Linked DNA regions of Caenorhabditis elegans. The protein of the gene in region 2 purifies or fractionates together with the protein of the main gene of each other region. This does not show direct contact. Each region holds a gene or a part of one and is shown on either strand. Other genes may lie near its edges.

Evidence for each region. Proteins that work in one complex are often made in the same cells at the same time.
Region 1: the proteins of rbg-1 (region 2) and snt-1 purify together in Caenorhabditis elegans (affinity purification with western blotting, with the first as the bait; one study listed by BioGRID). This does not show direct contact.

Annotation. Positions count from the first base shown.
Region 1 is NC_003280.10:6,809,019-6,816,508, reverse strand, and holds snt-1 (C2 domain-containing protein), read right to left. Parts: upstream 5,542-7,490; coding exon 5,426-5,541; intron 4,621-5,425; coding exon 4,523-4,620; intron 3,427-4,522; coding exon 3,245-3,426; intron 2,419-3,244; coding exon 1,948-2,418; intron 1,650-1,947; coding exon 1,532-1,649; intron 1,462-1,531; coding exon 1,322-1,461; intron 1,206-1,321; coding exon of another isoform or gene 1,072-1,205; intron 987-1,071; coding exon 883-986; intron 633-882; coding exon 530-632; downstream 1-529. UniProt on the Caenorhabditis elegans protein: May have a regulatory role in the membrane interactions during trafficking of synaptic vesicles at the active zone of the synapse. It binds acidic phospholipids with a specificity that requires the presence of both an acidic head group and a diacyl backbone.
Region 2 is NC_003284.9:14,981,561-14,987,877, reverse strand, and holds rbg-1 (Rab3 GTPase-activating protein catalytic subunit), read right to left. Parts: upstream 4,346-6,317; 5' UTR 4,318-4,345; coding exon 4,183-4,317; intron 4,125-4,182; coding exon 4,035-4,124; intron 3,959-4,034; coding exon 3,806-3,958; intron 3,758-3,805; coding exon 3,639-3,757; intron 3,593-3,638; coding exon 3,502-3,592; intron 3,435-3,501; coding exon 3,294-3,434; intron 3,245-3,293; coding exon 3,162-3,244; intron 3,107-3,161; coding exon 2,958-3,106; intron 2,911-2,957; coding exon 2,708-2,910; intron 2,651-2,707; coding exon 2,292-2,650; intron 2,245-2,291; coding exon 2,114-2,244; intron 2,067-2,113; coding exon 1,615-2,066; intron 1,403-1,614; coding exon 1,127-1,402; intron 1,070-1,126; coding exon 858-1,069; intron 800-857; coding exon 646-799; 3' UTR 513-645; downstream 1-512. Other genes in the region: iglr-1 (Ig-like domain-containing protein), read left to right, coding at 1-94, 153-327, 384-416; plp-2 (DUF3467 domain-containing protein), read left to right, coding at 5,074-5,168, 5,255-5,738. UniProt on the Caenorhabditis elegans protein: Probable catalytic subunit of a GTPase activating protein that has specificity for Rab3 subfamily. Rab3 proteins are involved in regulated exocytosis of neurotransmitters and hormones. Specifically converts active Rab3-GTP to the inactive form Rab3-GDP.

The DNA of each region.
Region 1 (7,490 bases), on a different chromosome or scaffold from region 2:
ACATATTTCCAATCTGCAGCACATCAAATAGTTTTGAAACAAAACATCAAATATTTTTTATAAAATCAGTTTTAGAAGTTATTTATTTACCAAAAAGAAAAATGTGTAAACGATGCAATTTAATTATGTCAGCAAGATTGACAGAAAAAAACACAAATTTCCAAAAAATAGACATCTAACGAATAAATAAATTGGAAAAGTTAAATAAATTAAGAAAAGGAGAAACTCTGAATTCGAGTATATAAGGAACATGTTGGAAGAGTGAAAACAAAGAGAGATTAATATTTAAATCACCGCCTTGGCACTGACAATTGCTACTCATTTCTACACATTGCATTATAAAAAAATAAAATAAAAATATTTGATGCATGGATTTTCACAGCGACTAGATCCTATGTACATCGGGAAATTGAAACTTTGAACGAAAAAGGACAAGCAGGAAAAATAATATCTCTTTGAATTAAAAAAAAGTGAAAAATTTAGATTGAATAAGGCATTTAAATTTAAAAAAAATGATAAAGTCATACATTTATTTCTTATCATCTTTCTTATCACCTTCTTCTTCAACTGGTCCAAGTGTATGCCATTGAGCAATTGGACGACGTGGTGAAGCCAACATATCCATCCAATGCCTGGAAATAGTTGGAATACTTTTGTTTAGGTTGATAAAGGAATTTCGCAACATTGTTTATGGTCTCGGTATCACATTAGATTTATGAAAAATTGAAAAAAATAAACCAAACTTCTTAGAACTTCCAATTATCAAAATGTATATGTCACCAGTTAACACTTTTAAAAATAAACCCATATTTCTGTGGTCACTTGCAAGAATTTTTAGACTTTCATTTAAAAAATTATTAAAAAAAAAAAACAAAAGCAAACCTCAGCTCGGCACCGGTTCCATTACATCCCAATAGACACCTTCCAATAGCGTCATTGGATCCAAGTTTATCATAATCCATCACAGTGATCATAAGGGAAACTTTCTGCAAATATTAAAAAAAAATAAATATTCAAAAATCGTCTCGAAGTTGAATGAAAAAGTTAGAAAGACATGTTAGAAAAAGCCACCTGAATTTGTTCGAAAGGCACTTCAAAGCTGAACGATTCGTTATAATATGGGTTAAGTGTACACTTTTTGATTGATGTCTTCTTCTTTTTCAGTCGTTTTCCACCTTGCATCAACACAATCTTCACATAAGGATCTGAAAATTACCCCAGAAAATGAAATGTTAGATTTAGTTAGAAAGGTTAAAGCCAGCAATATTTGGGGATATAGAATAGTTTAGTTTCAGCGCAAATTTATGAATTCCCAGATCACCTTCATTTTATGCAATGGCAATTTGTCAAATACAAAACTCTCATTAAAATATGGATTCAAAGTTTTCCGTTTGATATTCGTTTTCTTCTTTTTCAATCGTTTTCTATCTTCTCCGAACATTTCCAATTTCACATATGGATCTTATAATTTTAAAGTTTAGATTTTTGTTAGAATTAGGATCAATAATTTTTTTAATTAAAAAAAAGTTACCTGATAAACCACCGACGTCCATTTTCTTAAGATTTTTTGCTTCCAGAATGACCACTGTCAATTTACCAGCAGTTGGGACGTACCGAAGTGAGAAGCAAATGTCACCAAGACTCTTCTCCTGAATTTTTAGAATTTGTTTTTGGTTTTTGGGTTGTCAAAAAAATGATTAAAGTATTTCGAATTCGCTATTAAAGAATGTGAGGTCAGAAAGAATCGCATTGTAAATTTTTTTACGTCTGGAAGGATAATAGGTGTTATAGCTCTCAAATTTATATTGTTGTATTTATAAATATTTGAAATAGTGTACTTTGGAAGTAGATTTTCAACTGAACTGATTCGTTTCTACATAGACGGTGCTTCTATTTCTCAATTACTTTTTGATAATTCAATTAACATTTAAAAAAAACAAAACTTACAGCTTCTTTGTCATCTGGTGGTGGTGCAATATCCTTCCATTCTTCGATAACAGCTCCCAAATCAATTTTTCCAAGCGGAATGAGAACTTGTCCGATTTGATCGTGCTTACTGAACCGATCGAAATCATAAATTGCAAAGACAAGAGTTTTTGCCGTAATTTCGTTGAAAGCGACTTTAAAAATGAATGTCTCATTGAATACTGGATTAAGAGTTTTTCGATGTACTTTCGTCTCAACCTTCTTCTTTTTCTCCGGTAACAAATACAATTTTACATATGGATCTGATGTTCCTGACATGTCCATTCCTGGTAAATCTTCTGCTTGAATTACAGTTACAGTTAGTTGACCTTGTTGGAAATCATAATCAAGTTTATATTGTATCCTTCCAAGTTTCACTTCTTCTTTTTCTTCAGCTTGTTCTTTTTCATTTTGTTCCATCGCATCACCAAGTTCTTCCAAGTCTTGAGCCATCTGAAATTAATTATACAATTATCAAAATCAAACTAGACAACACTGATGTTTAATCTATTTTGATGAAAATTCTGTCGTCATCGTTTGGAAATTCTATTACTGATTCTGACATATTCCCCAAGAGATTCTGATCGCTATTTTAAAAATATGCATGCTCTCAAAAACAATTATTAGAACAATAATTTGTTTCATTGAACTCCAGTTAGAACGACAGTTAGTAATTTATTTGTATTCCAATCTTAAGAGAAATCAAAACTTTGTACTACTTATTTCAAAAACCGAGACAATCGTTATTTATGTTTTCAACTTTTACAATTAGTTACCTCGAGGGGCTATAAAATTAGGAAGAGTTCAGCAAGGTTGGCTAAAAAAATGTTTTAGCAATAAACGAGATTCAAAAATTCGTAGGTTCAAAATCCCGATAAAAAGTTTTTCAAAAAAATCCAAGTAAAATGTTTTAGGTTTAACTCTAGGAAATGAGTTAGATCAAGGATTTTTGTTTTCAAAAAAGTCGGGAATTTTTTTTTGTAAAATTCTTGATAAAATTTTCCTAAGAATCAAAAACTAAAAATTAGAACAATACCAAGAAATCCAAGGAAGAAATCCAGAAATAAGACATTTGCATGCCTGGAGTCACTTGCAAAAAATTGCCTGCCTACCTACGTGCCTATTATACTCTTGCACCTCCATGCATACATGGGAGCTCTAGATTATCATAACCAAGTTTACATGTTTGGTTTCGCAAAGTCGCTCGAATACGGTATTCCGTAACTTATTATATTTCCTTCCTTGTTTTTCATCATTATTTTTCATTTCAAAAACATACCCCTTGAATATTTTTTCCATCAACGACATCCTGTCCTTTACCAAAGAATCCTTTCAATCCACCCTTTTTGTTCTTCTCACCATGCCGCTTTTTTCCAAATAACTTCCGAATGAGACAGAATGCACACGCGAGAACCAGCAGAATAAATACGAATCCAAGAAATACGAACGCCCATTCAGGCACTGAAATTCTCGTAAAAAGGGATATGAAAAAGTTGAGAGAAAAATAGAAAATAAACCAACTTTACTTTAATATTAAATTCACTTTCAGCTGTTTTTTTTCTCTATACTTTTTTTTTGTTTTTGTTTACTATTTAATTGAAATCTATAAGTTATTAATAGATGTATGTATTTATTTATTTTTTGCATATCTCTATAATATTTATTCCCCAAAGAATATCTCTTTTCCCTATCCTAATTATTTTCGTCACCAGTATTTGTTGTCCATTGGAGCATTGGAGCCGCCAACTCATAAACGAACTACTTTTTTAGTGTCCAGTGATGAATGTGTTATTGTTCTTCATGCTTTTACTTCTCTATCTCTCTTTTTCTACTAATTTTTCGTCTCTCCCTAGGGACATCTACCACTTTTTTGGCACATGCTCTTCTTTTCTGGGGCCATCTTTCTATACACGTCAATTCTGGTTACTACTTTCTCTTCTTTTCAATACTCGAAAAGTAAAAAATCTAAAATATTCAGCGCATGGGGAGGAATAGAAGGAAAAAGAGAGAAAGGCTGTCGTGGTAGCCAAATATCAAATTACAATCGACACAGCCTGAAGCTGTGAAACGGATGGAGCATCCAGTTTTTTTGGAAGAAAAAAAAACGATTTTAGATCCCCGAAAGACAATGAGAAAATTTGAGAAAGAGTATACATGAACACTTTGTATGAAAATTTCCAGGAATTTTAATGAAAACGGTACTATTATATTAGACCAATGACGTCAGCTTGAAAAATGACACCGGTTGTTATAAATTCTATATTTCTGTCTACAAGAATTCAAAGTTTCTGGTAAAAAATATATAAAAGATCATCGAAAAAAGCTTAATCACAATCATAGTAATATAGCAATGTTGTGGTTTTCTGTTTCAATGAAATTTTGTTGAGATTCAAGAGTTTGGGAATATTCAAAATATTTCGAAAATTCAAAACGAAATTGAGAACCAAAAATCAATTACAGTTGTATTGATTATTCAGTAAATAAAAAGATTAAGGGGTTTTGGTAACTTCAGGTTTATTTCTTTCAATTTTTCTCCAACCAATAATTAATGACTCACTCCCAGTTTGTTGCATAACCTTTTCTTTCACAACGTCTTTCACATCAATCACTTTATTTACAACCACATCTTTCAGCGTCTCCTTTGTCGTTGTTGCTCTGAAATTATTTTATTTTTGTTTAAAAATTCACAGAATGCAATAAATCAATCGAAAATGAACAACATTTGTTCCTTCATGAATCGATCATGACATCACATCGCATGTTTATGAGCGCCCACAGATTTCATATTTTATATGATTTTTCTCGTTTCTTTTATGGTTTGTCGTTTTTTCTTTTCTTCTGTTTTCTTCCCCTTAGCAGATTAAAATAATCGTTTAAAATTTATATGAAGATAAATAATGTCGCAGTGAAGCCAAAAAATATTTGAATCATCATAAAATTTGAACGATCAACATAAAAAATATAACCAGTTGGTAATTCCTGAGAATGATTTGCCGAAACATTGCTAAAAGGTGTACCGAAATTGGGCAATGCTTAGAACGGCCTCAGCAAAGATTTGACAATTAATTTAAAATCAAGCTTATTTTTTTTATAAGTTGAGCTTGAAGGGACACCGGGTGCCGAACAATTTTTCCAGTAAATTTCAAAACTTTAAGTTAGAGGCGAATTTAGATTAGTCGATTCTACTGGCTGTACCTCTCTTATTAGTGCTGCCCCTTTTTACTCGATTTTTAGTTTGTTTCAAAAAATATAGAATTCAGGTTTTCTGATATTAATATTTTTTAATATTTAATTAATTAATATTTTTGGGGTTTCAAATTTTTGGCATTTTCCATAATATTTGTCGCAGGTTTTGTTAGTTCTTTGAACTGGAAACTCAAAAGTTTTCATTTTCTGAGTGTGTCTAGGAAAGAAAGATACAATCTCTAAAAGATTATGGCTCTTTTCTTTTTCTACTTACATTTGCTTTACTGCTTCCGATGTTGTTTCTTCCATTGGTGCTTCATCCCTTACAAACTCTTTTGTCAAGTCTTCGTCGTTCTCTTCGTCTTGCGACGAAAAGTCTAATTTCACCATGGTGACTGAAAGTTTGATTGATAAATGAAATCAGAGGTAAATCAAGATGCAAAGCGTCGAAGAAAAGGGTTCCGTGAGAGAATGAAGAGGCGGAGTCGGGGGTCGAATGGGAAAATAGGCAAACCCCGGATGAAAATGTGTTTACAGAAGCGAAATAATTAGAATTTTTCAGAAAGAGGCGAGAGATGTAGGAGTCTGTTTACTTTTCCAGAAGAAGAATACATTCTGATACGAGAAACACGGATGTAAAAATGAAATCCTTGTATGGGAAAAAATATGGGAGACGAAGAGGAGATTATTATGACATTAGATTAATCATATTATCCTATTATTCAAGGGCAAGAATGACGACTAGTTAAGGGGTTTTTTGAACAGATGAAAACAAAAAAAAAAACGTCATTTAGAGAAGAGCAGGATTACTTTTTGAAAACTTTGAGGATCCCAAGGGTCAAAAATCTTAGTAGATCTTGAAAAAGTTATAGAAAGGGAAATGTGCAGTATTCTCCTCAACTTTTTGTTCTTGGCTCATTCCTTTGGAGACCTTTGAGAATCTATAATTATGGAAAATAGTAGGTTTTAGTAGGTTTGAATTTGAATTGAAAATTCGAATTCCAATTGAAGATAGATATTTTTTATTGGCTTCGTATTTTTTTGTTTTTGCATATTTGCTTTCTTTTTTGTCTGTTTTTCGTTGCGATAAACACGCTATATGCAATTCAAAAGCGACGAAAAATAAGAAGTGAAAAAGCATCGAATGATAATACGAATGGGTCGACTACACGAAAGGACCGCTTGGAAAAACGAAAAAAAATTGATTTTTTGTTAGATGTCGTCGTCAGAGCAAAAAAAAGAAGAGAAGAGGTGCTCTTTCGGAGGGCAGGTGAAAAAGAAGTGTTGTAGAGGATGCAAATTTTGGGGAAAGCTCACATCGAGCATTTGCGGTGGTGGTTGCATTCTTGATTTTCCCATGGCTTTGAATAATGATTCTAATTCAGGAGTTTTGCAAGATAGGCTTGGGAAAAATATTTAAAACTTGTCACTAACATATTTCAAGAACTGAGAGAATGGATAAGTTACTTAAAGATTTAAAAAAGTTTTCGGAAAAACTTTAAAAATTGTAGTGTTTCTCAGAACTTGGCAGCCAACAATGTTTCTAGTAACTATATGTTAGGTTGCTGGAGATAAAATTTCTTAGTAACATTTTTTCAAGCTTGTATAAAATATTTGTATGATGTTCTGGGGTGAAAAGTTTCGGAGACCTTGGAACATGTCTAAATTCGAACTTCGCGGGAAATTGAGAAATACGATGATAAATCAGAGATGAGCGAAGGGCATCAACAGTTTTGATTTGTCGGCTTCTAAATTATTTGAAGACATTAAAAATCAATTCCTTTGTCGACAATGTTGGAGACTTTTCAGAAATAAAAATTCATGACAGTTTTTTTTGTTGAAAAGATTGTGTAAGTTATTTTGGGTCTTTCAAATATTTCAAAAATCTTAAGCTTAATGTTTAGATGAGCCCACCTCTTCAAAATATCTCCAATGAAATTTCAAGAATTATGGAGAAAGAAATACCCACGCACTTTTTTCTTTTTACTGACCTGTGTCATCTTCACAAGCTCATGTAATTTTCATTTGGGTGAAAGGTCAGTTTTCTGTTTCAAAAGAAGATGCACCCCAAGTGCCATTAGTTAAATTTGAATTCGTTCCTATTTCGAAGCATAATTGAGAAGAGTCAAAAGTGTGATGAGACCAAAATACCATTGTTCGAAAAACAGATTTTTCATTTTTATTTGTATTTTTGGCTTTTAACGGAAAATAGGAATAGGCATGGAACGGGGCTACAAATAATGTTTGTAAAGTTTCAATATTTATTTTTTGGGCAAAATGCGTTTTGAACAATATCCAACAAAACCAAACTGATTTTGAAAAAACTCGATATGAAAATA
Region 2 (6,317 bases):
ATGCAGTTATCTATAGCTCCTGCATCAGTCAAAAAACGAAGCCCTTCAAAACTGTCATGCAGAGTTTGAATGCAAAATTGGCAATCGCCTTGATGTGAGTTTTTCTTACGAGACTTACGAGAGTGAAGCACTTTTCACATCACAATTTTCAGAATAATACTGATCATCGTTGTCGTATTCTGTTGTGACACATGTATTCATCAAAAAGTCGCATATTTTTCTCGCATCAAGAAAAATGCAAAAATGCAGCAGTCCGTATCGGGACAGTCGATGCTCACTCAGTCATCATCTGCGGATGCAACAACTTACGAGAATTTTCAGCTGAGTGTAAGTTTACGAAATTTTACAATGCAAACTATCTAAAACATATATTATTTTTTTAGGTTACATCAGCCTCAGAACACCCTCTTCTTTGATTGTGTATAGTATCACAAAATAATTCTCACTTTGAAACGGGTATTTTCTTTTGATGTATTTTCAATTTGTAAATTACGAATAAAATCCATGCCATTATTACATTCACTTTATTTACAAAACATGTACATTTCCCCTATAATTCAACGGGAATATCAAAATTGTTTAGCTCGGGGGCTGAAGAATCAAAGTGTGAGAATGTCAGAGACCAGTAGATGCTTTAAATTCAATTTACAAATATGACGAGTTGGAGAAATTGCAGTCGTTGGCCATGGAAAAGTATAGGCTGTGCTTGTCGGATCGCAAGTCAGCATACATTCGGTGTGTCATGGGGATTGTTGTGGTTGACGGGCAGCTGTGCTTCCAGTTGAAGATGTACTCTTTTCTGGAAAAAAGCAGCGAATTATCTATGATTCAGGATCAAGGATTATAGTGCTCATTACCTGTGCCCATTAATCAGTTGCTGCTCCGTGAGCTCATCAAGTTTTCCAATTACAGCTATAGCTCTTCCAATCGGATCCTGTGGCTTGATGACAAACGTCGGCTCCTCATCAGTAGAATTATCCCAAAGGTTATGTACAGCAATGTTCACCAATTGTTTGATTGCGCTTTGAACATCAGTTTCCGATGGATATGGCGGGTGCATTTTTTCTCTCTGAAGATTTAACTTATAAAAGAAATCAAATGAAAACCCAAAAAATTCCAAACTCACAGCATTTTCGAAAAGTTGCATCAAGTGGACCTTCATGTTATGAATCATTTCGATCTGGCTACAGTACTTGGAAATTTCATTGTAATCCATTGGAGTGTTGTTGAGCGTCGCGTTTGCTAGAATTTTGGCTGTCTTGGTCCGCTGCTTTTGTTTCTCCTCAGACACGCCATAGCTGCTCTCGATTTCTGTGAGGCGTTCTAACGTGGCTGCAAACACGGTTGGCTTCATCCATTCGCGAACTTGATCGAGAGTTGCGTTGTTGAATATTTCGAGTATCTGAAAAAATAAACGATGTCCATTGAACCGAAATTATCTACCCGAAGGTAGAAGACAAAATATTTACTCTGATAAGAAATATACCTTCCGGCCGCATAAGTACTGTAAAATAGACACCTACACCGTATAAACGAACGATTGCAAAAAAATGCGTCAGACAAAAACTTAAATTTCAAGTTCAGTTCTCAAGAATTCCAAAGTTTTACACAAACCTCTTCTGCAATTTTTGTGTCATTGAAAATCCTTGCTTGATTGGCCACCGGAATCGGTAGTGCAGCTTCCCAGCTTCTCACCCACACATTATTAGAAATCAACATTCTCTCTGAGATTGTATTTGTTTTCTCATCATAATCTTTTGGCGAATGCCATCTCAGAAAGTCAGCAAAAACAGCTCCAGCATTTGCAGCCTTGAAGCTTTGCATATCACTTTTCACAAGTTCCATTTGCAGGTGCACGCGATCTTCCTCGTCAAGACTGAACAGGTGCTCATTTCGAGCATCTATCATCTCATCAGTGAGTGGGCAAGCATCTTGTGTGACTGGAATATACATGGGCACGTCTGGAATCTCGACAAGGTTCAGTCCAAATAGTTTGAGGCGTCCTTCGTTGTTCGGTTCAAGAATTGTTTCAGCATTGAAACTTTCATTCGCGTCAAAGAATTCATCTGAAACTAGATTTCTAACTTTTGCACTAGTGGTGTCTGAAACTTACCAGAATTATTGGCACTATGAGCAGAGTCAAGCATTCTGTGGCGCTTCTGGCGAGCATCAATGCATAACTGGAGCATTTGCATTTTCTGTGAAAATGAGCATTGCAAGTGATCAATTCCGTTGTAGACTTTTCTGAAAAACATTGCTAATTACCATTTTTACAACTGAACCTTGCTTACTCGACAGTTTCCATTTTCTCGTACTTCTCGCGAAGTTTCAGCAGAAACTCAACCCATAACTGCGGCTCGGCACGTGGTTGATCACTCATAAAAACTCTCGCATTTGCCAAGGCAATTGCCAATCTCCATGTAACAGTTGACTTCTTTGCACACTTGTACGGAGCAAGGAAGGTGTTCGCTGATTTGGGATTCTTATAATTGAAAAGAGTATCCAACTTGACGTTGTTCACCAGCTCGTCATCTGACAATTGGTTCTCCGACATACTAGCAGCATTCAACATATTGAGCTCGTGAGCCAAGGACTCGTTGTCGGACTCCGCTTCGTTGAAGATGAAGTTGACCCAAGATTTCATCAGAGCCTGAAAATGAATAGGATAATTACGTTTACCACTAGAAAATTTTGTCGTTTAACTAACCGGCGGCATTGGTCCATTGGTTCCACTATCCTCCGTCTCTGCATGCTTCCCAATTTTCACCTCAGACGCTGAGTTGATAGTGAGCTTTTGGAATGCATTTGGAAGCTCTTTTTGTGTGTAGTGTTTCCCAAGAATCAGTGCACAATTAAGGTCGCTACGGATTGCTTTTCTGGTGTCTTCTCGGTAGACGCCAAGAATTTCATCTAAAAAATATTGTTAGTTCACAATTAATCAGATAAGTGTAGCTCACCAAGTACTCCCAGCAATGAACTTTTAGTCGACTTCATTTTGATATTCCAATACGAAGAATAGTTGATATCAAAATCTGAATGACTATGGTTCTCAGTCAATGAGTTTTCACGGAAGAAACGCCACGTGGCAGCAATTTCAAGTATATCGCTGAAATTTTAATTGTTTTTTTTTTCAGTTTGAAAGTTTGAGTTCGAGTTCTTACAACGGCAAACTTGATGTTGGTCCAGTCGCGAGAAGACCAAAAGTTTCGACAGTATGATTCCGGAAATACTTACTTTGTTTCAACTGAAAATTATACATTACAATTTTAAGAAAATGAGCCAACGCTTCCTACCGGAACAACATGTGTGAATCTAGAGCTCATGCGAACTTCCTCATGAAACGCCGAGATGCTAGCTCCAAGATGCTCTTTGAACAAGTAAAGCAGATCGGTCATACTGCAGTGTCTTCGGTTAATGTTTCGGAGAACAACGGACTGCAAATATTTTGTTGTGATAGGCATTTTTAAATAAAAAAAGCTATATTCATAAATAAAAACTCACCGAAAAGTTATACGTAGAATTTCCATCCGACGCGTACCCAGAAATCATGTCCAAGCTTTGGTCCTTGATGTAGCAGAACACTGGGACCTCACTGGAATTTAAAAACCAAATTAATAACAAATCACAGTTTCACATACCATCTACTTGAGTGCAATATTGTTTTGATATTTCCCATAACGGTGTTCACTTGATTCTCGTCGGTGAATGTACCAGAGCTGTCATTTGGAGAGATGATAATGCATTCGCGAATGCCAAACTGAAATTTTAAAGTTTAATTGTTCATTTCGATTTTCAAAACACTAACCTTTAGCAAAAAGCTATCGGTGACTTCGAATCCATGCTTGAGGTTGGCAACTTCCTCGGCAACAGTGAATGGAATAACGTGGGCGTCTTCTTCAATCTCATCTTTTGGAGCTTCCACAAACTCCACGTCATTTGAAGGATTCGATGAAGCTGGCTGAAAAACTTTTTTGCATTTTATAATTTTTATATTTAGTTTATATAGTTTCTTGTTCATTTTGCAAAAAACTCACAACTGGCTGCAATAACTCGATTCTTAGCTTGTTCTCTCCAATCGAAATCATATTTGTGTCCGTCACAATCAACCGGTACTTCACATCATTCTGAACATAAATTTTTACTGATTAATGTTTGAAAAAAACAAAAACTCAAAAAACTCACCGATAAACACGGTCGGCGACTGGAAAACTCGTATTTCTGAAGAATTCCTTCAAATGCTGCACCGAAGTGCTCCATATCGGTGACAATTGTGAAGTCATTTATCTCGAAAACTGTGTTTTCCTCGATTTCCGCCATTGGAACGACAGGAAATGAAGGTTTGGCACTGCAAAATGAGAATGGTCTCGTGAGACGATAGACGTTCAATAGAGCGCAATTGCATTGTGACGTCAGCACGTAAACAAAAGAAGGGGGAAGGACGGATGGGCCTGAGAGGTGTGAGGTGGTTTATATCGATTTTTCGGTTGCTTTCATAAGGAAAAAAAAACAGAAATCGTTTATTAAGAAAAAGTCTATGTATGAAAAACTTCAAAAATTACCAAGCTGTGTTTGCTGCTGAACTGTTGAAAATTTGGACACATCTAGGAAAAAAAAGTGTTTTGACCAAAGTTTCGAGTACTTTGTTATTTGTTTTCGTGCTTGTTTTGCAAAAATCCGATACATTTTTTTCTAGAAAACATTCCATCAAGGGTTGTAATCAGAGTACCGACTGTTTTTATTTTTGACAAAAGTCAAAAATACTGATGACCTAAATTAAAATGTGAACATGAATTTTAAAAAAAACTAATTTTTGAAAGCGAACATGTTTGGAAAATCTAACTTTGTTTTATGAAATAAAATCACGGTAAATTAAAAACTAAGTAATTTGAACTTAAATGCACCCTTTTTGCAGTCCATTCTACTCAAAAAAAAACTTTCCCAAAAAAAAAAAATATGTCTGTTGATCCGAGTATATCGTTGGTTCAATTACCCAATTTGAAGTCGCGTAAAATTTCGAGCAAAATCTGCAGCTTTTAAACAAGTTTATTGTAAATAAAATGAAAATATTTACCCATGTGGAGTACACGCGCTTTTCCACGCGGTGTACGGCAAGCGATTATCAATGGAGCGCGAAAGCCGCAAGGGGAGTCCAGAAGCCCGTATTGCAGGTAAGCTTATGGTCTGTTGCCACGTGACACTTAAGTTTTGATTGCCGAAAATAAATTCACATTTTTAATGCAATATTAAATTTCAGCCAAAGGAAAGCTCTCTCATCAAATCAGAGAAAATTCTACGTCGATCTGAAGGAAAATGATCGTGGTCGCTTTTTGCGCATTGCTCCGATGAACCCACGTCAAACTCGCCAACAAATCGCCATTCCATCCGATGGAATCGCCGAAATTCATAAGGTGCTAACCGAATATTTGGCCAAGTTCGGAGAGGGACACGAACAGGAGAACACCAACACTCCAAAAATCACTGCTGAAAACAGAACGTTCCTTTTCCATTCCGGAAAGAACGATCGTGGAGAGTTTGTTCGCATCTCGGAGGAAATAATTTTGTGTCAAATAGAAGTTTATTCTAATTTTATATTCAGATCAAACTCAACAGCGGCTATCGTAACGCAATCACCGTTCCAATGTCCGCACTCGTCGATTTCCGCAAAGAGTTGGATAACATCATCGCCAACCAAGGAAAGTAGTGATCTACATGTTTTCTCTGCAAAAAAACAATCGTAATTGCATAACATCTTTCGAACTCGATAGTCTCCCAAAAAATTCCTCCAAATCTTTACTGCATTTGCTTGTAAAGATTTTACCTATTTTTCTAAACTGCTGTGTTCCTGTATTTTCACTCTACCTGTTTCGTTTATTTATTTATTTAAGCATCAAGTTTATTGATCTCTAATAAATTCTCGGGAAATTCGTGTCTTAATTATTAATATTATAGTTATTCTTGCCAGGGAAAGTTACGTTTCCTTATCAAACACCTGTTGCGAAACCAGAAAAGGGCGGGTCTGACTAAGTGAACAAATATTTCGTAATAACTTTCTTCCAACAGAAATTAAAACACGCAAAAAACGGCCAACTCACTAGCTGGAACGTGGAGCCCCATGATAACTCCATGATAAAATAACTCTGATTGTCGACATAGCTTCAAGAATATCGTATTCTGCATTTTCAAAAAGTATTTTTCGTTCAAAATGGGCTTATTCTTCTCTAAAATTTCTTCCTTCATGTTTCCAAATATCGAATGTCGTACATTGATGCTCGGTTGAGATGGAGCCGGAAAAACGACTATTCTCTATAAGCTGAAGC